Linked DNA regions of Neurospora crassa OR74A. The protein of the gene in region 2 interacts with the protein of the main gene of each other region in a pairwise test. Links are inferred from orthologs where the notes say so. Each region holds a gene or a part of one and is shown on either strand. Other genes may lie near its edges.

Region 1 (7,365 bases), on a different chromosome or scaffold from region 2:
CCTTGGGAAGATTCAATGGCCTCATCAGCTGCTGCGCAGAGATGACCTCAATCTTGAACGAGATCCTCTTCCGTGGTCTTTTACCCGATAGCTGCCCGGCAGCATCCGTCGGGACGACTTGAATCTGACGTCCCTCGAGGGGTTTAAGAACATAACCGGACAGGTCGGTGCCACTATCAAACATAGCCTGATTCAGCTGCATCCCCAGATCGAATGTTTGCCAGTTCAGTGCTGCCATTTGAACCCCGCGCTTCCAATAGAGGAGCGGGTCAAAGTTGCTAGAAGATATCCGACCTCCGTTCGGATACACACGCATGAGATAGCGCATGTTATGACGGTACAAAGCACGCTTTGCTTCACCCGGCTGGCTTCTCTCAGCAAAGGTCTTTTCTTTGAAGGAAAAGATATGGTTGAACTTTTTAGCGTCGGGGCTGTCGAACCCATCAAAGTGAACGCCCATGCAATAAACGCCCAGTTCACCGAGGATAGGGTTGATTTTGCTCACCACCTTCTTCCCCGAATCCTTTTCAGCATCACTCTCGTATTCGCTGGGGCTGTTGCTAGGCCCCCCGTGGGAATGAACCTCGCCTTCCGTGATGGTGTTAATTTGCCGTGTCGCTCGCAACATCGGACTTGGACTCAACGAGGGACTTCCAGGAACAGCGACGGATGTGTTATCCATGGGAGATGGTAAAGGTGACGGCCTCTGATAAGGTGAGGGTAGGCTGTTGCCGCGCCGCCGACCAGGTCGCTCAGTCTTCAGCGACTCCTCAGATGGTGTGTTAGGTACTGGCTGAGACTTTTTGACCTTGATGAGGATGCGCTCAATCAAGTCAGACGGTGAGGGAAGTCGATCCGAGGATGGATCGAGGGGTGCCCGGACAAGCTTGTCGCCGAATATGTCAATCATAATCTTTGCCATGTTGGCTTGAGTCGCAGCGTTACAGCGGACCTCCAGCGATATCCAGAGAGGAAAGCGAGACTTGACAAAGGCATACTTGTTGATGGTTTTGATCACCTCTTCAAACTTGATCCTTGTGGTCCAGGTATGGCCGTGTGACACATAAGGCTCGTCATTCGGGCCGTCCCAGCAGTCGACTTCAACGCATCTGCAACCACGCTCAAGTGCCGAAATATAGCCTTCGACACTGGAGATTCCACGGACTTGGCGACCAAGAAGATATGTATTATGTGAGCTTGAGATATAATACTCATTCATTGGTCGGTCGAGAACATATTCGGATGGCTCCTGGATGAGCAAACTGTTGAAATGTGAATTGAGAAATCCAGTGAAGCCAGCCTCAGATATGGTCAATGACTCATCCCCGCTGATGGTCTGCTCGGCATCTTTGGACCTGCGTCTACGCGCGAACTGAGAGAAGATATTGTTCCAATGCGTAGAATCTTCCTCCACGTCTTCGCATTGAATCTCCTTCAAGAATTGTATGAATTCTTGCCTCGTCATCCCTGCTTTAGGGTTGGTCGTATGATTCTTGAAGACATGGCTGATCTCAGACCTCGCCTTCAATAGCCGCACGAACTCTTTAAACTCGTTGAAGTTCAAACTGGAAGGGGAAGTGGGATCACAGACCCCGTTGGAGGTAGCCTTGGCAGCTTTAGCAGCGTTAAAGTTGTCGCGAATTTCTGTCGGCGATAGGTGCATGTGAAGAGAGCGACAGATTCTCTCAATGTCGGGAAGTTCAATGGTTTCGCCTTCAGCCGGAATGACCCTATCTGCGTACTTCTTTCTCATTTGTCGTTGCCAGAACTCGTGGACGGCCTTTTCGTTGAAGGCCATCAGGTTTGTCGTAAAATCCTGGCGATATTGAAGTATAGCATCGAGTGTCGTGGTCCAATTGCGAAAGTCGGTGGAATTCAGGGCAATGAGATGCAACACCTTGGTTCCTGACTTTTCTGGGACTGTATACAGGATCGAGAAAAACCTGGGCTCTTCAGATTCTTCAACCCCGGCGTCAAGACGGTACTGTCGAATGTCCTCGGCTGTCCTTACTTCCTTGATGTCATCGATGAACACAGACTTTCTCCCTGTTCGACTCTTGTCCCACCATATCTTGGAAGTGTCTGGATCAAGGGTGAGGGTGATTCTCTTTTCCTTTTTCTTCTTGCTGATTTTTTTCAACATGACACCTTGGCGTAAAGCAACCGGAATCTCGGGTCCAATGCTCAGGGGAATTTGAGCGTCTCGCAACCCGTCCAACGGACCGGCGTCATCTATGGCACACTCATCATCTGATTCCAGCAAGTGACCTCTGTAGTTGTGTTCCCCGAGTGGGAAGGTGTTGCTCCCACGGCGCAAAGACGCCACCATCGGGTCAGCATCCCGATTGACAATGTTCATTGATGCTCTTCGTGTAAGTATGTCGCGCGCTTTGTTCACTGTGTTTGAAGCGCGACGGACCAGACTACCCGCAAAGCTACTTTTGGACAGAGCCTCGCCCATAGCATTCTGTTGCCTGGGGATCTTCTCGCCGCTTTTCTCTCCATTCCTTTTTAGCGAGTTACTGCTTTTCTTCGATGACAAAGGGGCTGGGGCTAGTGGCTCGGGGAGGTTAAGAGGCGTAACTGGTTCCTCCATTCCCTTAATCGTAGAAGCGTAAGAGTCCATCCCCTTTGTCGTGGAAGATACGAAAGTCGCAGGGGAACCCTGAAGGGAGCTGCTTTCTGTGAATATGGCGCCGGCCGTGTCTGGTGTCAAGGCCGGAGAGGGTTGTTGTGACGTGGGCGACGCAGACGACGTGCTTATGGCGGACAGCGGAGATACATTGGTGAAAGCCTGGGGCTGTAGCGTGAGAGCTGTCTGAACATGAGCAGGACGTGCCCGCCGCGATGGTGAGGTATTTGGGGCCATGGTACGGGATATGGCCTCGGGCAAAGTCGAAGGGGAGTTTTGGGAAACCAAGAGAGCCTCTGTAGTTGAAGACATGATGTTGGGTAAAAGGGAGAGAGGTCCCCTAGGGGCAAAGCCGTTGCAAACAAACTTGGACGAACAAAGTGATGGACCAAGTCTTTTTCTGATGGGTTGTGCCACGACCAAGGAGAAAAAAAAAAAAAAAACCGGGATTATGTGTGATGAGAAGTCTTTCGTCGCATCTTCCAGGCGTTGTCAGAATAGGCTGGGTCCCCTATGGTGGTAAAAGAAGAGTGCGGGGAAAGATATATAGATGTCGAAAGGTCTGGCAAGGCGTGGATTCCAGGAGGGGACGTCTTGTAGCAGGTATAGCGAATGGTTGTGGACAATGACCGAGTCCACTCTGGCGTTTTCTCTCTTGCTCTCACGCACAAGTCAGCAAGTGAGGAAGCAAAGGTAATGAGGCGTACGGGGGTTGAGCAGCAGGTCGAGCTAAGTAGCCTGTAAGGCAGGTAAGTCCGTAGCTAGGTACCAGGGAGGCTGCAAGTATGGCGGTTGTACTGGTACGGGGTTGGACCCAGGTATTGTACACGGGAGACCTCGAAGCATGCAGTGGCAGGTGTAGGATTTTGCGAGGAAGGGGCGGGTAAGGTATGGGCCGCCGCCGCCGTTTTGTGACGGTCTGTGAACCCACGGCAGAATGATGAGGTGGCAGCCGTATGCAAGCTGCTCCTATTTGGGAACCGTCCAGGATTGGAGAGTAAGGGGAGGGGGCAGCTCGGTGATCCACCCTGACGGCCAAGAGACGTTGGATACGTTGGATACGTTGGGTGGAAGCCGCTCGGTCCAGTGAGTACGGGTACTTGGACTGCTGGGTTCGAATTGGCCCGTCGGATGCTGTAGCTAATAACGGCGTTGTGTGGTATGAAGCGCTGCCGTATGATCCCTTGGTTTCCTGTCGAGGCGGGCTCCCGTTTTGCTACCTCGACCTCGGACCTTCCTTGCTTGATGGCTTGCCCAGAGCCTAATTTACGCGAACCGGCGTTTGCGCTTCTGGGTACGTAGCAGGTATCCGCGCTGCGCTTCGTGGTTGAGCCGCCCAGACCCTGATGTCGTCTTCCTTCTTTGGGTAGTGGTGAGCTTGGAGAATGGGCAAGCAGCTTGAAGGGCCAGGGATGCGCCCACTAGCAGCGGTATACACCACGTAGTTAGTAGCAGGAGGAAGAGGCAGAATCAAGCTGGAAGACTGGTGAGAGCCTCGAGGAAGCCGGCGGGAGATAGTAGAGTTACAGGTCGGCGGTGACGGGGCCGTTAACGGCGGCAATGATAGTGTAGCCAGGTGATGGTGGAGCAGCGTCGAGTTTCTCGTTTTCAGAGAGAGGAACAGAAAGTGGATAAACCCATTGATGACTGACACTGATGAGGCGGGTTCTGTTGCAGTGGACCTTGGAGATGACTGAACTGGATGCTGGACGGAGAGCTAGAGCTGGGAGAGGTGTCGAGAGCCGCGCAAGAGTCAGCCAGGATTGTACGGTGTGTGGCCGCCGGTACAGATGGTTAGGATGAGAAAGAGGTGGATGGCCGGGCGTCGTAAAGTACCACGTAGCGTATGGATAGATATGTGAATATGGACGTATTGCGTATGGTTCGGGATAACAGGAAGCGACGGTATCAAAAAAGGTGCATGTATTGCTTGGGGCGCAATGTAGTGTGTCGAGGTACAGTAGAGTAGTATTGCGAGTCGGTAGTGGTCGGGTGTAACTGCCCTTGCCCTGCCCCTACCCTGGGGGTTCCGTTAGGTATGGTCTGAAATGCAACTGAAGAGATCAAAAAGTGGAAAACCCGATGGAAGCAGAATTTCAAAGTTGGAGTCGCAGGTGGGTTCAGTGTCGGTGCAGTACTAAGCGGCGGCATTGAGCAGCTGAAATTTTCACGTACTGTGCCCGCCGTGTATCGAATTCGAAGGTAAGTGGCCCGAGTCGAGGTGATGTCGTAAAGGTGAGGTTTCGTCGAGCAAACCTTATTGGCGTCGTAGTGGTTGCGGTGCAGACGGGAGCGAGGGTGGCCGAAATACGATCGGTGCTTCTTTTGTTCTGAATGCTTGCTTTGTGTTGCTTCTGTCCGCCGCGGTGGTCCTAATCCTGGGAGCTTGGGGCAGAAGGGGGCCGCCGACTACTATCCATACTGGACATCCACATCGGTGGAGACTCGGAACTAATGAGGGTGGGTAGTACATACCTACCTACCTCTAGGAAGGTGCGCCCCAGATTACAAGTGTGAGACTGCGGTGCACAGTGCCACCGCAGAGTGGACAGTGAAAATTACAGAAATGCAGGAGCATAACGGAGAAATACTTACCAGGACACCATACAGAAAATATTACAGGGAAATGGCGCTCTGTCTTAGCGTAAGCTGTATGTTCCATCCTACCACCCACCGCATCTTCTCACTTGTAACGAAAATGCTTTATACATAATACAACTCAAGGCTTACTAGCCAATCCGGTTGGCATATTGCTGCATATGCAGCTAAGAGCAAGCTCAAAACGCCCGCACAAGGTGTGGTGGCCTTCTTCCCCGATTGAGGAGTTCCGTTACAAGTGAGAAGATGCGGTAACCTAGGTACCTACTGCGTACAGTGGTGCGTACCAGTCCAGTGGTTGCATGTCCAAGCGTGGAGGTTCCGCGGACCTTGGCAGCGGAGGCAAATGACGGAGCAAGGGATTCCCACGAACCTATTGCACGCGAGCGCCATGCCAAAACTCGCATGAGTTTGGACGGAATACGGCAGCTGTGGGCAGCAATCTTTGCAACAAAGAAAATTCTGAAAGCACGCCCAGAGCTCCCTCTTCCAATTGCGACGAATGCCCAGGCGTGCCAGGCTCCTTGAGCCTACCTAGCGCATCCGTATATCCGAAATAGTGTAGCGTCGAGCTTCTACCTGCCTTCTCCTTTCCATCATTCCTTCCCCTTTCTTTCATATTCACTACATACCTACCTAGGTACTTGGCCCCTCCCGCCTTCCTAGGTACTCCCCAATGTCTGTCTGACCGCAGTGGATGTCCACGTCGTGTGGCCGAGAGTTGGGCTGGGAAGATATCTCATACCTGAGCGTATGGGGGTGAATTGGGCTACAACAGTAGCCTCATTACCTTCCATGGCACCCCCTCACTGGACGACAGGGCCGTCGCGGATGATCTACACTACATTGGTTTAGGTTCATCAGGGACTCGTGGGGAAGTGTCACAGGCATTGCTGCCATGTTCCTGTATATAGATGGGTGCTGCACTGCAGTGGTGTAGCCAGCCTGCAGCTGTCTGAGTGCAGTACAGCAGTCACGTGCACACGTGCTGTAGTCCGTATACTAGACCCACGCACAAGCGTGCCTTACATAGTTCTCGTACGCGCACAGGATTCTCTTCCTGTTCCTCGCACAACAATCAAAATCTTAGCTTAGTACTTACTCGCGCCCTATAATACTTTATTATACCTAACCATCGTATTAATGCATAATAAGTAATTTTGGAAAGACTAAGAATAGTAAGAGACTATTGTAGTTATTTAGTCTTCGCGAAATTACATTTAGCCGACTAGTACGGTCGAAAGTAATTAATTAAAACGTATTTAATAATAGTCGATACGAAGCGAGAATTTCAATTAAGTACTATGAATGGCATCGCAAATACAATCATCGCAATAATCCCCTAATTTATTATTATTAGTTAGAATTATAATAAAATATTTAATTTTAGTAATTAATAATAATCTTAGCAAAGTCAAATTAACTTATATAAAATATTCCTAATACTATTAAAGGGTTTCGATTTACTCTAATACATTTATAAAAAAAAGGCAACCGGCCTTTTAATCCCTAAAAACTTCGCTAAGAAGGCTAAGGATTCCCCCGAAGTTATAAAGTTACTTTATTACTTCAATACTAAATTCAAAAACTTTAATAACAAAATTAACGCTATTATTGAAGTAAAGGACAAATTGGCAATCGCTTCCAAAAAGGAAGCCGAAAGATTTAAGACCCGCGTTACTATACTCGAAAGCCTTAAGGCCTAATAAGCGGTTTAAATTAACTAGTAGTAATAGAAATATAATAATATTATTAAAGAAAATATAGTTCTGTAGAAGAATATTTCCTCTCTATAATTAAATAATAATTCTCTATATACTATTGTCGGCTAGAAGGAGCGTAACGTCGCTTTAGTGGAGCAATAATATACTAATTTATTAATTGTATCCTAATTCTAGAATAATACTTTTAAGGAAATAAATATTAACTTTAAAAAGGCCCTCGCTAAAGTTAATCGAATTAAAATCCTCTATAAAGAATTTGATTATACTAAGTAGAGGCTTAGAAATACCCAGATTAAAGCCCAATTCGGTATAATTAAATAGGCTAAAGCGACTATTAAAAACTCTAAACTCTTTATATAAATAAACGACAGCGATATATTAAATATTTATAATACGGAGGATATTAGAAGG
Region 2 (7,282 bases):
GGTGTTGCGGTGTAGTTGATTCGCGATGCGACGCACCTTGAGACCCTCCTGGCCGGCCTTGATGGCAGCAACATAGCCAGCGACGCCACCTCCAATGATGACGAGATCCTTCTCCTCTACGGGCACATCAACAGTCAGCCGACCAGAATCCTTTGACGAGAACCAGCTCTTGATGTTGGCAAACAGACCAGACTCGGTCGCATAGGTCCTCCTCAACCTGGGAGAAACGACGACAGGGAGCCTGTATGTGGTCGTCAGGTCAGCCTCAGTACGCGCATGAGAAAACAGTGTGTCGGGCATCCGCCGGCAACCGGGACAGTGAGCTTACCCCGAGGGCTTGAAGGCGGACCGGACGGCAGCACGGCCTATTAATCTTTGGGACAGCATGGTGAAAGTATGTGCTGAATGGAAAAACCAGAAATGGAAACAGGGAAAATTCGAAGGAACGAGCGCACTGCAGAGAGATGCCCGGGGAAGCAGGGAATGCGATTCGATGGTGAGACGTCGAAAGTGTGTACTGAACTGCAAAACGCCGCGGGAGAGACAATTGTTGGGATTCGAGGCGGAAGCTATTCACGGCAAGCGAAAAATGTCCAGTCCCACTTGTTCGGGTTGCCAGCCCGTCAGAGGCTCACATCGCTCAAAGGGCACCCGCTTTCCACCGTGCCCGTCCCCAAGCTGGCCCGCTCGAGACAGCGCAGAGCGGAGTAGGTAGAGGTAGGTACGAACGGAGCGGAGTAGGAACACCACTACCTAGGTAGGTAGTAGGTACCTCTAATCTCGCGTACGCTACACTAAATAGGTAGGTAGGTACTGCCTGATCGTGTTAGTAGTGTAGAGGTAGTGTGCTACAGGAAGTAAAAGTACTATGATGCCAGTGTTAGGCGGGACGGGCAGCGCGCTCTTCGCCGTCTTACTTTACTGTCGCTGCTGCCCTGACTGCTTCGTCGAAGAAACCCGTCCCCAAATACGTACGGTACTAGGTACGCTCCATTGCGTCCTGTGATTGGTCAAGACGAACTTGGCGTGCAGCAGCTGACTCCAAAATTTTGACATCTCTGCACTCCCGCTATGTATTGTAGCCATTTTTCTGACAGCTTAGGTTGTGTTTGACATTCATCTTGCTCCTTGGCGCGATCCCCTCTTTGCTCCCCTCTTTACTCCGCCCGTCAACGCCAAATAACCCCAGCTTGCCCAGCTGCCGAATTGGAGAAGCATAACCTGTCCCTAACCCGTCTTAGAGGTTAGTTGTTTGTCGAACGACATGACACATGGCAGGCAATTCATCTCAAACCATCTGCCTCCTCTTCATGTCCACAATCAAGAGTCCCGCCCGACCCTCATGAAACCCTGTCCCTTCGTTGCAAGACGAAATGACATCATTGAGTGCTATTCACAGACCACTATATTTCCGGGCTCCCGCACACTCGAGTCGGTTGCTCCCTGGATCCCTAGTAGCAAATCGCCCTTCCTGACAACAAGTTCCCCAACTTAAAGCTACCCCCAACTTTTCCAGTCCCGCCGTCAACGCTAATATCTACAAAGTAGGTAACTACATTCGAGCGAGAATGCTTGGGTTAGTTCCATGAACTTGTCATGATATTGGTCAATGGCCTTTTGTATAGACCCCGGCACACTTGTATCCCTGATCATTATGTTGCTATTCCCGAAGATATCCGATCCATATACAGGTATCCAACAAAGCAAAATTATTCCACCAAGCCTTCGGCGGCGAGCAGCGCATGCTCCAAGGCCGCCATGGCCGTCTTGCAACCCTCCTTGACGAGCTTGGTGTTGGCCGCCCCTCCCGCGAGATCCGACTTCCGGACCACCTTCTTGATGAACCATTGCAGGCCTCTGGCAAGCTCGGGGACCCCTTCCACAGCCACAAACACCGAAGTAATCGTCTCATCCCGATCCTTGTCGCCGCCTTTTCCGGCTTCAAGAAGCACAGTAATCAGCAGGATCTCCACTAGCGCCCGCGTCTTGGTTTGTAGATAAGGCAAATTGAGGCATTTCAGAATTGCCAATCCTAGCGATCCACCTGCCACCATGGCCCCAAACAGTTTTGCAATGTTGACAAGCCGCCGCATGTCCATCGCATCTACATCCTCCTCATCCTCCGCGTCATCGCCAAAAACTGACTCTCCGAGACGCCTGAATAGCTTCCAGAGCGCGTCTTGGAACGACCACCGGATTTTGCGATCCCCGCAAAGCTTCTTGGCCACCAAGGTGTAGTATGGGTTGTAGACCTGCTCTGCGCCGGCACACTGGATGACCACGTATGGAATCTCTCTCTGTCGCTCCTTGTTCAGGCGCAACTTGAGGATGCGGTAGTAGGCATCTTCGTAGTCCGTGGCGGACATTATCGACACAAAGATGGACCGGCGCACGTCCGTGTTCATCTGGTTTTCTCTGGCAAGTTCTCCGAGGTCAGGCATGTCCTCGACATCCTCCAAGACAAAGCTTTCGTCGTCCGAGTCAACGCTATCCTGTATGACACCGTCCTGGGTCAATGGCTTCTTGTCACTGTCCTTATCTCTGCCTGCCCAGCTAGCGCCTACAAGCCACCATTTGCCCTTCTTGTCGGCATCGCGTATATCGGCAAGGGTCATTCGCAAGGGCTCGGCCGTCTTGATGGTTTTCAAGGTGCCCAAAAGCTTCTTCATCTTGGTTGTGTGCTCCGTGAGAACGGCGGAAGCGCCTAAACCCGTCTTCATCTTGTTGTTTTTCAGGTCGTTGATGGTCTCAATCATGAATTTAGTTCTGACGCTGAGGTTCTTCTCTCCGATCTTGGCAACAGCCGGGCGGATAAGGGTAACAATGTCCTTGACAGACATGGGGTCATCTTGTCGGAGGGCTGGGCCAGCAATGCGCACAATTCTGAGCAAAAGTTCCGCGTTCAGCTCCGAAAGATCACCCAAAAGGATTCGAATGAAGTCGAAGAGCAAGTTAGGGCCCACGAGTTGAAAGTTATAGAGTTCGGATAGGAAAGTGATGAGGTTGGATGTCTGTTTCGGCACGTCTGGCCGCTCCTTTGCAGCCTCTTTGGCCTCTTCATAATGCCTATCAAATCGCTCGATCACTTCTTGAATTAACTGTGCGCCAAAGTCCATGCCAATCACCTTGAAGATACCCGTAGCGAAACCCGCGGTAAGCACGAGCAACGTATCAGGCAGCGTCGTTGGCTCGCACACCTGAATGAGTAGGAGATCGACAATGTTCGACGTAAGATGTTGTCGCGGGTTGTCGCGGTAAAGCTTTTCAAAGTCCATAATGATGGATAAAAGATTAGACTCTGTCATCCTGTTGATGAGACCTTGTGTTTGACGGCGAATGTGGGCCACCAACTCCGCTTCTGAGCCCGCCTCCTGTCGCTTCGATGGTGGCACGTATTTCACTACAGTCCGCCCAGTTGTAGGCGCAACATATGGGTTTTCGCGGACCCGTTCTGGCGGCTTTTGTAGCGTTTCTTCGTCGTTGTCGGATTCGTCGTCGTCGCCGTCGTCCTCGTCGTCGTCCTCGTCGTCGTCCTCGTCAAATCCTCCAAAATCCCCCTCATCCTCGCCCAAGATGCTGTCTTCTTCTCCATCTTCATCAGAATCGCCTTCGACCATGTCTTCGTCTTGGTCAACGTCGTTGTCTTCGTCCGAGTTCAATCCCTCTAAGAGATCGTCCAAGCCATCGTCCTCTTCGTCCAGTTCGGAGACTTCATTTTCTTCCTCGTCTAGTTCGAATTCCTTCGTCTTCTTGGCCTCTTCCGCTTTCCTCCTTTTCGCCGCAAGCCACTCATCCGCTTCGGACTTCCGCTTCCTTTTCTCGGCTGTTTCGTCGTCTACGCCAGGAAGGCCTTCTAGTAGATCAAGAAGACCATCCTCCTGGAAGGACTTGGGAAGCGATTTGCGTCCCTTGATGCCGAGCTTCTTTTCGAGGTCTGCGATCTCCTTGTCGTCTTGCGCCAATCGTTCCATGACAGTTTTTGAGATTTTGGGCTGCGACTTCGATATGGTTTGTGTTGGGACATCACTTTCCTCTTCATCGTCCACGTCTTCGCCGTCTTTGTCGTCTTCTTCGTCGAGGTCTAGCTCATCGTCCTCGTCCTCGTCAAGATCGATATCGCCCTCGTCATCGAAATCCTCATCATCGTCCTCTTCGAGGGCAACATCTTCATCCTCATCCTCCAATGATCGTTTCTTCCCGTTCTTCAAGATGGGCTTGGGTTCCTTTGCTTCCTTTGACGATGCGGCATCGACCTTCTTCTGTGGTTTTGGGGCTGTAGCGCGCTCGGTATGGTAACTTCTTGTGGACGAGGTGCGGTGAATCCTTTTCTGTGTTCTCTCTGCTTTACGGCGATCCTTTCTAGACTGAAATTGATTCTTGCGACCTCCGTGAGATTGTCCTGCAAGAGTTAGGATTTCGTCGGAGAACCCTGATTGCCAGGCAGGAATGACAATGGCTGTATGGGCGCATGAACGGAGGCACGCTCACCTTCTACGCCGAGCTCCTTCAGGAGGTTGTCAGGCAATTTTGGAGCCTTTATCCTCATGGAGGGTGCCATGTTGTAATATGCGCGTGCGGAGGTGTAGATGTGATTGATTGGCACGACCTCCAAACTTTGCAAGGCTCTCTCGTCCGTCGCTGCATGGAAGAGCGCGGGATCGGGACCTTGCTATCGTTATCAGATAGTTTTTTTGGTTATCGGTCGGTGCAGGGTTCCAGGCATGTCGACTGCGGGGCCAAGAGCGCCAAGAGATGAAGCGGGTCCTCCGCTGCTTGGGACCCCACCCGGCTGGTTTTACGCTGGGGAAGCTCACTCCTACCAGACAGACGGGAGCTGCCCGGCCAACAGCAGTGGGGAAAGCTGCCACTCTCGTTGACTTTCATCAATCATTCTAGGTTGCCTTCACATTCACTCCTCAGCCGAATTGTTGTCTTGCCTTTTGCAAACGAGCATAAGAAGAAGACGAAAAACAACTGGATATCATGGGTCATTTAACTCACGATGAGGTAATGTTATATGTGACTGGCTGCTGTGATCCCGTCCTGAGGAGACCATGCTAATCTGACTTCAACCGACTATGGTATATAGTTCTTCTCCAAGCTCACCAATCTGTTCGAGTATAGGAAGAACCAAGATCACGGAACCATCAACCTAGTACAAAAGAGGCGTACGTGTACCTACACCAACCCAGCGCAGACAGGAAACTTCACACTCGGCTTTGCTATCGTCACGACAATCCTCCCAATTTCCGCTGTTTTCCAAGCTTAAACTCCATCTCCATCCACCCACGATGAGCTAAGTAGAGTGAAGCTCCGTCACCAAAGCTAACCCTCCCACAGTATCCTACAGCACCCCTTCCCAATCCACGGATACCGACCCTCTCACTGACCTCAACCCTGCCACCCCGCTCCCGGTTCTCATCCGCGCCACCAACGCCAAGGGCAAGGACAAGAGGACAGAAAAGGTCAAGCTGTCCACCATTGTCGAGCCAGCCGACCTGGAAACCTTCTACGGGAGGTACGCCGATGTTTGCAAGAAGGGCATGGGGGCATTGAAGCCGAGAGACAGGACCAAGAGGAAAAAGCAGTCGAGGAAGAAGAAGACAGGTCCTGCAGCCGCTGGAGGTCCTGGTGTTGGTGCTGGTGGGACTTCTATGATGGCTATTCCCTGATTGGACTCGAAACAAGCGTTGCAAATTACACCATTGCTGTTTCTGTCTTCTTGTGTGTACATGACCTAACGGAAGGAGGGATCTGTATGAGGGTACCGTATTAAATTTTGTAATATTCCCAAGCTTTGGTGGAATACCCTGGTTCAAGTCAGTGGGTACGCATGGTAAGGAAAGCGTTGGTGAGTAGTACCGCATCATAGCCTTCAATCTGCCACTCTCGGTTACCCTACCTCTCGACTCACCTGCTCGTAGTTGGTATTACCCTTCAAGACGACTAGCGAGAAAGGAAGGGAAGAAAAAAAAGGTGTTGGGAGAGGGGGGGAAGGGGGAATATGAAAAGCTCAGCTGCCTATCTAGCGTGCAGCGCACATCTACTATCTACGTGAGCTACTGGAGTTAATGAAAGGTGCGAACTAAAGGGATCATATGCCCGTTCTGGAGAATGTTCAGTCCTGCCGCAGGAAGTATGCGGCCCTTCGTGGAAATGGAGATGGAAGGGAAAGAGAGGAACATGAAATGAATGAGTGACGGAAGAAGCGTGAGAGAACGACTGCTGTGCCTCAACAGAGAAGCTGTTGAACGAAGGGGAGAGTAAGAGCGAGCCGAATTGATAACGTTCATATGCTTGTTCCAAATCTGCTGGCTGGCCTTCACGATCCTGTCTTGGGTGTGAACTTGATCACCGGGAGAGCGTGTATCTCCAGGTGACTCGATCTAAACGGTCCTATTAGCAAAGTTAACATTTCTCATTTGGTAAAATAACAAGACTGCCCGGGTGGAGCAGCAGCTACCGTACCCTGACGTCAAGCGTAGATATATTTGAGCCGCACTTATGAGCATCAGCTGAAGGGCAACCGGCTCACCCGTTCTCCACTCGATTCACCATTATGAAACACCACGAACACGTCACATCACGTTGGCTTCACCTTGATTGGCTTTGATTCAGGTTACCAAGAGTCGCAGTTCCAATGTTCGACCTTAATCCTAAGGTCAACCGAGATAATTGCATGTTCTCTTCAAGAGTACAGTCTAAAGGTGGGGGGATGTAGGTGAAACAAGATCAACTGTCCATTTTGAGGGTCCGAACCGTAAACAACTTGCTGAAAGAAAGGCCGAAGAGCCAAATGTCAGCCGCAAAAAGAGCAACAAGTTTCAGTGGGATTTACTTGTCCCATGTGCTAGAACTGGGCAAGGTAAAGCATGTCGCAAATTCAACTTCCTCAATCTCCTTCCTCCGACACCATCCTTCACATGCTTGTCATGCGGCCATTCAGACTACTGCCCCATCCCAGGCCAATGCTCATGGCCACCAAATCCCTGACCATAGCCACCTGTCCGTAGACAAGTAGTGCAATTGGAAAGATTGAACCGAGCGCCACATCGAAGACAGGCTTAATCCAGTCATATAATACAACCTCCAAATGGAAAATCCCAAACTATCATAGGAAATCTGTTGCTTCAACCAGTATGACTGACGCGATGGTCGGTAATCAGTTTACATGATCTGATCTTGTGTCAGGCCACCATGGGGGTCGGTATCCATGCTGTCGCCGCCAGCACCAGGGTTAAGGTACTTGACGAAACTCAGACCGAGAGGACGTCCACCATAC
Region 3 (7,489 bases), on a different chromosome or scaffold from region 2:
TCACCGTTATCGTACGGGGCCTCTTCAGCGACCGGAACAGTGACTAACACTGCTGCTGTGGCTGCCGAGAGAGGTGGTGGCTCAAAGAGGAATATGCCAGATCCGCTCGAACCTATCCCACGGCCGCCTACTCGGCCCCAGCAAGCCGCCGACAACGTTGTTGTTGATCTGGAACGGGACGAATCCGAACCAAAGGACAAGGTCTCTCACCTTTCGCCAGACAGTCCTTTGCCTGGCGAGATCCGTCGGTCTAAAAACAAAGACTACGAGCACTCTCCCAAACAGCATGCCTCTTCGCGGACTCCTAGGCAGAGCCCCGAGGTCAAATTCATACCAAAGCTGCCCGACTCTTCTCCGGCCTCTGACAGGCGGACTTCGGGTATTGCTCAGGAGATAAGCCCGCAGACGTTCTACTCCAACGCCCCGCAGAGACCAGAGTCGCCAAAGCTACTGTCGCTAAAATCACAGTCGCCAAGGCCGCAATCACCTTTGGTCGAACGGAAGCGAAGATCGTCACCAGCACGCAAGGCAAAGGCATCACCACCCGCACGTAAGACGGCGCCTTCACCTGAGCTTGTAGCGCAACCCCTCGAATCGATCGAGATCTTCGATCCCCCGACTCCTGAAGCTCAAAGACCGTCGACGACTAGCAGCAAAGTCAAAGCCGAGCAGAAGGACAACAATCACGTCAACCACGGAAACAAAACTACCTACAAAAAAAGCGATAAACATACCCGCCAGAAGTCCAGAATACCTAGGAGAGTTGTGGACGATACTGATAGAAGCGGAATTGGTAGCGGGAAGAGTCGCCGTGTAGAACAACAACAGCAACATCATCAGCGACAGCCACGTCCCAGCAAGCCCAAGGAAACGGCCGAGACCAAGTCCGAGGAGATCCCCGATTCACCCCCTCCGGCGATGGTCGTGTCTGACATCCCTGCGGTGCAAAGCGCGGAGATGACGCCTATTGACTTGACTGATGAGAACTGAGTGAAGACCAGGAGTATGTGGATTGGTTAGAGCGTTGAATTGGTTCATTGTTGTATGTTTATTGTTGGTGTAAGCATATTCATTCATGCATCTGCCCATTTGCATTGCATGGTCTTGAGGCCTCGATGGCTGGTATAGCATGGCTGCGTTGTCTTTTTTGAAGCTCGTTGCTTGATTGTTTTGGAGTTGAAACTCTCGAACTCCCCAAGTCTTGTACATCTTATCATGCAGGCGGAATATTTGGCGGTATTGACGTCCAGCTAGGCCTCGAGGAGTACCTTTGAGTCGGGTGGCCATCTCAGTCTCGAGCTAGATGATGGAGCCTCAACCTTGTGCTGGAGGAAGAAGTAGCGCAGCGTGATCTAACAAACTACCAATCCTCTGTTGATATTTTTTTCCACGGAGAGCACATTACAAGAAGTTTACCATCCCTTTGATGATATATTGGTGAGAGATTCCATAGTATTTTAATGGCTCTGTGTGGCACAACTTAATCGGAAATCTAGTGGAATGGATTCATGACCAGAAACTTTTCAACTCCCTTCAAATGCAGTGAGGCTACCTAAAAGATATAGTGTGGTATGTACAATACTTGCTCTTTCTACTTTCTCCTTCTCCTTTGTCTATGAACAGCTTGGCTGTCGCGAATGCGATATAACGTCCAGAGCACTTTGTAACAAATTTCAACAGGCGATGATTATTTGGCTCTCTTCTTCCTCATTCTCCGCGTTTCTCCCATGTCCCGCTCCGTCAAACGAGGTAGACAAAACAAGACAGAACAAACGTACGTATGGTTCCCATCTTCTTCCTCTATTCCTCCTCTTCTTCCTCCTCATCGCTCTCCTCCCCCTTAGCCCCCGCTCGCCTAGCAACCTTGGGCACCTCGAAGATAGTAGCGCCGTTTCTTCCTTCCTTCATGTACTTCCACCTTCCCAGCCTCATCTCCTTGCCTGTGGCGACCACGATGCAGATGCCGTCGCGACCGCGGTTGCCGCGCTCGAAGATGGCAATGTCATTGATGATACCCCTAATCAGCCCGCTCTCTTGCTTCTTCTTCTTGTCTTGCGACCCATCCACCGAGGCCTCGTCGTCCGCTTGCTCCTCCCCACTGCTTGCGGTTGCAGGTTCCTTCTCCGCCTTTGCCTTCTGCTTTGCTTCCTCCTTCTGCTTCTGGGCCTCGGCCTGGTCAAGCTGCTGCAGCGCCGTGCTGGAACCGAGCACGCCAACAGGCAAAATCTTCTTCTTGTCCTCGCTCAGGCGCCACACGCGCACGAAGCCGTCCCAGGAGCCCGAGAGAATGACGTCCGAGTACGGGATGGTGCGGAGGGCGGTGATGGCGCGGGGCTGCGGGGTGGGCACCACGCTCTCGTCCGGATTCGCGTCGGCAGACACCTCGGTCGGCTTGAGCGGCGGGTCGATGCCGTGCGCACACGGCTGCGTGAACAGCGCCTTCTTGCGGTTGATGCCCCACAGCGAGAGCGTGCCGGCCGAGTCGCCAGTCACAAAGAGCTCGTCGTCGATCATGGCCACCTGGTCCATGGTGCCATCGTGGTTCACCGCCTGGTCCCGGTTCTTATGGGATTTCTTCTCCGACACGCCGCCGCGGAACACGAGCTGCGACTCCTCGGGAACCTTCCAGTAGCGGGCGGTCCGGTCGCGCGCGCCAACGGACACGCAGCGCTCGCCGGCCAGAGCGTCGATGTCGGGGATCTCATCCTGGTGGCCGAAGAGTGTTTCAACGTAGGCGAGCTCGTCGAGCGACCAGACTTTTACTGTCCGGTCCTTGGAGGCAGAAAATATTTGGTTAGTGCCGCGGCGGAAGGCGAGCGAGGTAACGGCGTCGCGGTGCTGGGTGAAGGCCCGGAGGGGCTTGAGGGTCTCGGCGTCATGGACGACCATTCGCTTGTCGGCGCCGCCGGTGACAACAAACTTGCCGTCGGCAGAGGCCCTGACCGTCAGGATGGCCGCGTTGGTGTGTCCCTGGTATGTCTTGTCCTTTGCCTTGATCGGGTTCGCCCTGTTGAAGCACACTCTCTCGGGTTTCTTCTTGGGCGGCGCAGGCGGCTTCTTTGGCTTCTTCTTGGTCGTCTGTGGCCACTGGTTCTTGGGTAGGTCTTGTAGCTTCCACTTGGTAAGGTAGCCGTCTTTCGTGGTGGTGTAAGCGTACGGCGCGCAAACCGAGACTGATGTTACCGTTCCTGAATTCCATCGAAACTGTGTGTGTGCGGCCTTGTCAAAGTCGAGCTTGGAAGCCAACTGGCGGTAAACCTTGCCCTTGGCCTCGGCCACATCCTCCTGAAGACGCTCGGCCAGCAAATCACGGTCAATCTGCTCGGCGTCAAAGGCATACTCGTCCTCCAGTTCCACCTCTTGTCGTGCCTTGTCCAGATATCGCTGTGCCAATCTTAACCGCTTCTCAGCCGCCGTCTCTCCTTCGTGGTCCGACTCCTCTTCTCCTTCCGACCCGTCCTCTCTCTCAATGTGGTCGCCATCGTCACTGTCAATGTCGCTGCCGGATATCGACTCGTCGCGCTCAACGGCTTTCTTGGGGGCTGCGGGACGTGATTTGGCGGCAGGGCCTCTGACCGACGATGACTTGGCAGTCGATTTGCCAGTCGCAACTCGCTTCTGGGGGGCTTCGTTGGCAGAGGCACGCTTCCTCTTCTTTTCCCCAGCGGGTGCTGTGAAAAAGGACGACATGGTGTTGGCAATTGCGGCCCGGGGCGGTCGGTGCAAATGCACTGGAGTCGTCTGGTGGTAGAGAATGACACTGGAATGTGAATTGGGGTCGCGTTCGGCTTCACTTCAACGCTGCTGCATGGCTATCAAAGTTGAAATTTTTGGGATGGCCGTTCGCGCCTAGACACACCCGACCCGATGGACTTCGAAGAAAAAAAAAAGTTGCCCACCCTGCAGGCTTTCTATCGGTGGAGTAGCACGCCGATTCGTCAAGATCTCCTCCACTGGCTTGGCACAATTGAACGAGTCGGAGAAGGGAATCCCCGTGCCGTGCACTCTACCTTATTGCGTCACTAACAGATATAGGGGCTCTGTCACGCGGAACCGAGCTAGCGAGCTGTTAGTAGTCGGCTGGTGGGGAGGCTCTTGCTGTCTCCAAAAGACGTCCCCGGGCCATCCTGGCAGGTTTCATGACGGAGTGGGGCTGTCTCTCTCGCTGTCTGCTTGCCTGCCCAGTGGTTGCAGCTTTCAGCCCTTCTGGGGACTGGAATGGAAAGATGGAAGACGATAGCGGGCACCTGAACAGCCTGGCCCGTGCTTGTCTTGTCAGCTTGCAGGCTGAAGCTCCAGTGCGCGTTCCCCGTCGCCGTCAGTTCAAGCTCCAACTGCCCTGTCCCGCCATAGGTAGGTAACGACGAGAACCGTGCAAGCCAACGCAACTTGCCAAAGCTTACCAAAACAACAGCATATCATCCATTCACTCACATAACAATCAGCCAAAATGTACGTCGCATCGGTCATGTCTTGGAGAGGTGATATCAGAGCTGATCAGCATGTAGGGAGGTTTTACTAGGCATCACGGGCAAGGACTTTACCATCATTGCGGCGTCCAAGGCCGCTATGCGGGGAGCGACCATCCTGAAGGCATCCGACGACAAGACAAGGTCGCTGAACAAGCACACACTGATGGCATTCTCCGGTGAAGCTGGCGACACAGGTACGGCAGCGATATCGTGATGATGGCGCTTTTGAACCAAACCAAGTTAACCAACTGTTTGTTCCCATCGACAGTGCAGTTCGCCGAGTACACCCAAGCCAACGCCCAGCTCTACTCCATGCGCAACGGGACCGACCTTTCCCCTTCTGCCCTTGCCAACTTTGTCCGCGGCGAGCTTGCGACGAGCTTGCGCTCCCGCAAACCCTACAACGTAAACCTCCTTCTCGGAGGTGTCGACCCTATCACCCACAAGCCCAGCCTCTACTGGCTCGACTACCTTGCGTCGTTGGCGAAGGTCCCCTATGCCGCCCACGGCTACGCACAGTATGTGATCTCGACCGATATCTCTGTACCGTCTTTGATGCGTAGGAGTCATGTACAGAATCACTGACCGGTTCTTTCCTCATCAGATACTACTGCCTCTCGATTCTCGACAAGCACCACCACCCAGACATCACCCTCCACCAGGGTATCAAGCTTCTCAACCTGTGCACCGACGAGCTCAAGAGGAGGTTACCCATAGACTTCAAGGGCATGACGGTCAAGGCGGTAACGAAGGACGGCATCATCGATATCGAGTTCGACGACGACAAGGTGGTTAAGATGGCTTGATTTGTGGGGATGCTTGCTTACTTGCCTGCTTGCGGCTTGGGAAGCCTTGCGGGGGAAGGACAACTCTGTATAATAATACCCATACGACGGAAATGCATGAGTCCAGGTGGCCTCCACCAACGGGAGACCCCTGGCGAATTTGATGATCATAAAGAAAGAGAGAGGAAGAAACAAGGCTATCATGTTAGAGGTGTGAAGTCCGAGAGTCCGTCTCTGCGGCTCCCGGTTTCAGTGTGGCGTGTGGAGCGCGTCTGGGCCGATCATACACCCTGCCACCGACACCATCGCGATACGATACGTCAGGGTTGCTTCTTTTTGATCCTTTCTTCGAAACACTCCTCCAACCGGTCAGATATCGTTACGGCAGTTGAGGTTAAGGAACCTGTTTAACGTCCTCTGGCAATCATGGGCGAAAGTATTATAACATTGAAGCGCACACCGCACTCGGTTTCAATCGAGACAGAGGCTCGACGAGCACTTGAAGTCCGTAGAGGTATTGTGTACCTACCTGAAACCGACAAGCTGTAACATGAATCATGACTACTGGTAAACGTTGAAACAACTAGAAAGTATTTCACATTGTCAGGGAATTGTTGTACAGCCAAATGAGAAGAGCTCGAGCCAGTGAATGGTCAATTCCAATTTCATATGTTCAGTCGGCATCATTAAAAGCACACGCAGAGAAGACGCAGCAAAGGGACTTGAAGGAATGTGCTGAAGTGCATGTGTGTAGTACGAGCCATGTAGTGTATGATCGCTGGCTGACATGACGAGGCCCATTAACACTGAAAGCGGTGAGCGCTACAAGCGTGATGGTTGGTGACTGGTGATACCTTGGGACGACGTGGGGGAATTCAGGACGGAGCCTTTCTGCAAAACCTTCCAAGATAGTACACAACTGTCTCTCTGCAGCTGATACCTACCAACGTACATGTCACCAAAGCGGAGGGCATCAGCGGCCCGATTATGTATGTCGCTGTTGCAACTGTCATCCGAGTGTCTGCTGTCAACATCTGCAAAGGTTAGATAAAAGGTGCGGAGATCGGTGCAGAAAGAGATAGATGGATGTTTATGAGACCGGCAACACCGCCGGCTGAACGCGGGATAGAAGAAAACGACAAGAGGCAAGAGGACAAACCGCCCCTTATCACCTAGACGAAGGAAGTGCCATTTGCCTTTTGCCTGCCAAAGGGGTCAAAGCCAATGGCTTGTTTCCATGTTGTTCCTGGTCTGCCCTTCTGTGTCCACTCAGCATATTGAGGTTTGTGGGCTTGCATGGTCAATCACAGTTGGTCCAGCCAGATCAATAAAGAAAAAAAAAAACCGGTGTGTTTGTGCGTAGCAAAAATTGAAGGCTGAGCAAAGACCTTTCCAAAAGGTTCGAGATCTATAACAGAGGATGGGAAAGATAGCAATGATGCTAATTTATTGCCACCCGAAATGCCTAGCAAGGCCTAGCAAGGGCAAGGCGTGGACGTTCCGCTTGCTGCCCTGCCTGCCCTGCACTGCTGCTTCCTTACAATCGCCAATCGCATGACCAACATTGGCCCCCTAAGACGGTAGAGGTACCGGTACAAAGACCCTTTTTTGCCATCAACGTGACAAACCTTGGAGAAGACGAGCGGATGAACGTTCACGGTCCCGGTCGCTCTTGAAAGCCCAGACTGCAGTAACCTTCGCCCAGATCCGTACATGATCCAGATGGCAATTTTCTTCGGGGCAGCTGGCATCTTTGACACTTCCCCACGTTGCCCACGTAAGAAGGTGGGATTCTGAGTGGCTGACAGTGACAGCAGCCAGCTTTGGTGGGAAAGTGGTGGCCGTCACGATTTGTGCTGTGCTGGCAAAAAGCTCACTGCCGGGTAAAAGATGGCCGCAACTTGGCAAACAAGCGCTGGATCAGACAAGACGAAAGGAAACCGAAAATGAGTGAGCGAAGGAAGGGATGGAAGAAAGAACGAAGGGGACGGGACCCGTTCGTTGTATGCTCATCTTAGAAGACACTGCAAGCTGAAATCTTTCTTCCTGCCTTCTTCATCTGGTCTGTGTTCGGTTGAAGATGGAAGTCGCAACGGTAACTGCACCGCATCCTCGATACGCATCCGCAGTGTCTACAGTACATTACGCTCCCCTCGCTTCCGTCATCTTCTTACCTTACCTATGGTAAGGGGTCCAGTTCCAGCTCTCCCTCTCTGTAGCCCAAAGACACTT

Evidence for each region.
Region 1: the proteins of NCU02406 (region 2) and NCU01266 interact in binary tests that used the Saccharomyces cerevisiae proteins (3 or more experiments, as listed by UniProt). The link is inferred for Neurospora crassa OR74A from reciprocal best matches to the Saccharomyces cerevisiae genes SGD1 and PLC1.
Region 3: the proteins of NCU02406 (region 2) and NCU01367 interact in binary tests that used the Saccharomyces cerevisiae proteins (3 or more experiments, as listed by UniProt). The link is inferred for Neurospora crassa OR74A from reciprocal best matches to the Saccharomyces cerevisiae genes SGD1 and RRP9.

The regions. Positions count from the first base shown.
Region 1 is NC_026505.1:3,446,347-3,453,711, reverse strand, and holds the start of NCU01266 (phosphoinositide-specific phospholipase C), read right to left. Parts: upstream 3,878-7,365; 5' UTR 2,945-3,877; coding exon 1-2,944. UniProt on the Saccharomyces cerevisiae protein: The production of the second messenger molecules diacylglycerol (DAG) and inositol 1,4,5-trisphosphate (IP3) is mediated by activated phosphatidylinositol-specific phospholipase C enzymes. Required for cell growth, osmoresistance and expression of GPD1.
Region 2 is NC_026507.1:2,608,926-2,616,207, forward strand, and holds NCU02406 (nuclear protein), read right to left. Parts: upstream 4,632-7,282; 5' UTR 4,559-4,631; coding exon 4,489-4,558; intron 4,400-4,488; coding exon 1,710-4,399; 3' UTR 1,442-1,709; downstream 1-1,441. Other genes in the region: NCU02407 (dihydrolipoyl dehydrogenase), read right to left, coding at 37-116, 189-241, 329-387; NCU02405 (hypothetical protein), read left to right, coding at 4,984-5,007, 5,090-5,168, 5,341-5,672; NCU02404 (RNP domain-containing protein), read right to left, coding at 7,168-7,282. UniProt on the Saccharomyces cerevisiae protein: Involved in osmoregulatory glycerol response, probably through its interaction with PLC1 which regulates the expression of GDP1.
Region 3 is NC_026505.1:3,790,043-3,797,531, forward strand, and holds NCU01367 (rRNA processing protein RRP9), read right to left. Parts: upstream 3,878-7,489; 5' UTR 3,691-3,877; coding exon 1,801-3,690; 3' UTR 1,485-1,800; downstream 1-1,484. Other genes in the region: NCU01366 (hypothetical protein), read left to right, coding at 1-990; pcb-4 (proteasome component C11, variant), read left to right, coding at 4,451-4,452, 4,509-4,666, 4,741-4,990, 5,077-5,278. UniProt on the Saccharomyces cerevisiae protein: Involved in nucleolar processing of pre-18S ribosomal RNA. Required for efficient pre-rRNA cleavage at sites A0, A1 and A2, and biosynthesis of 18S rRNA.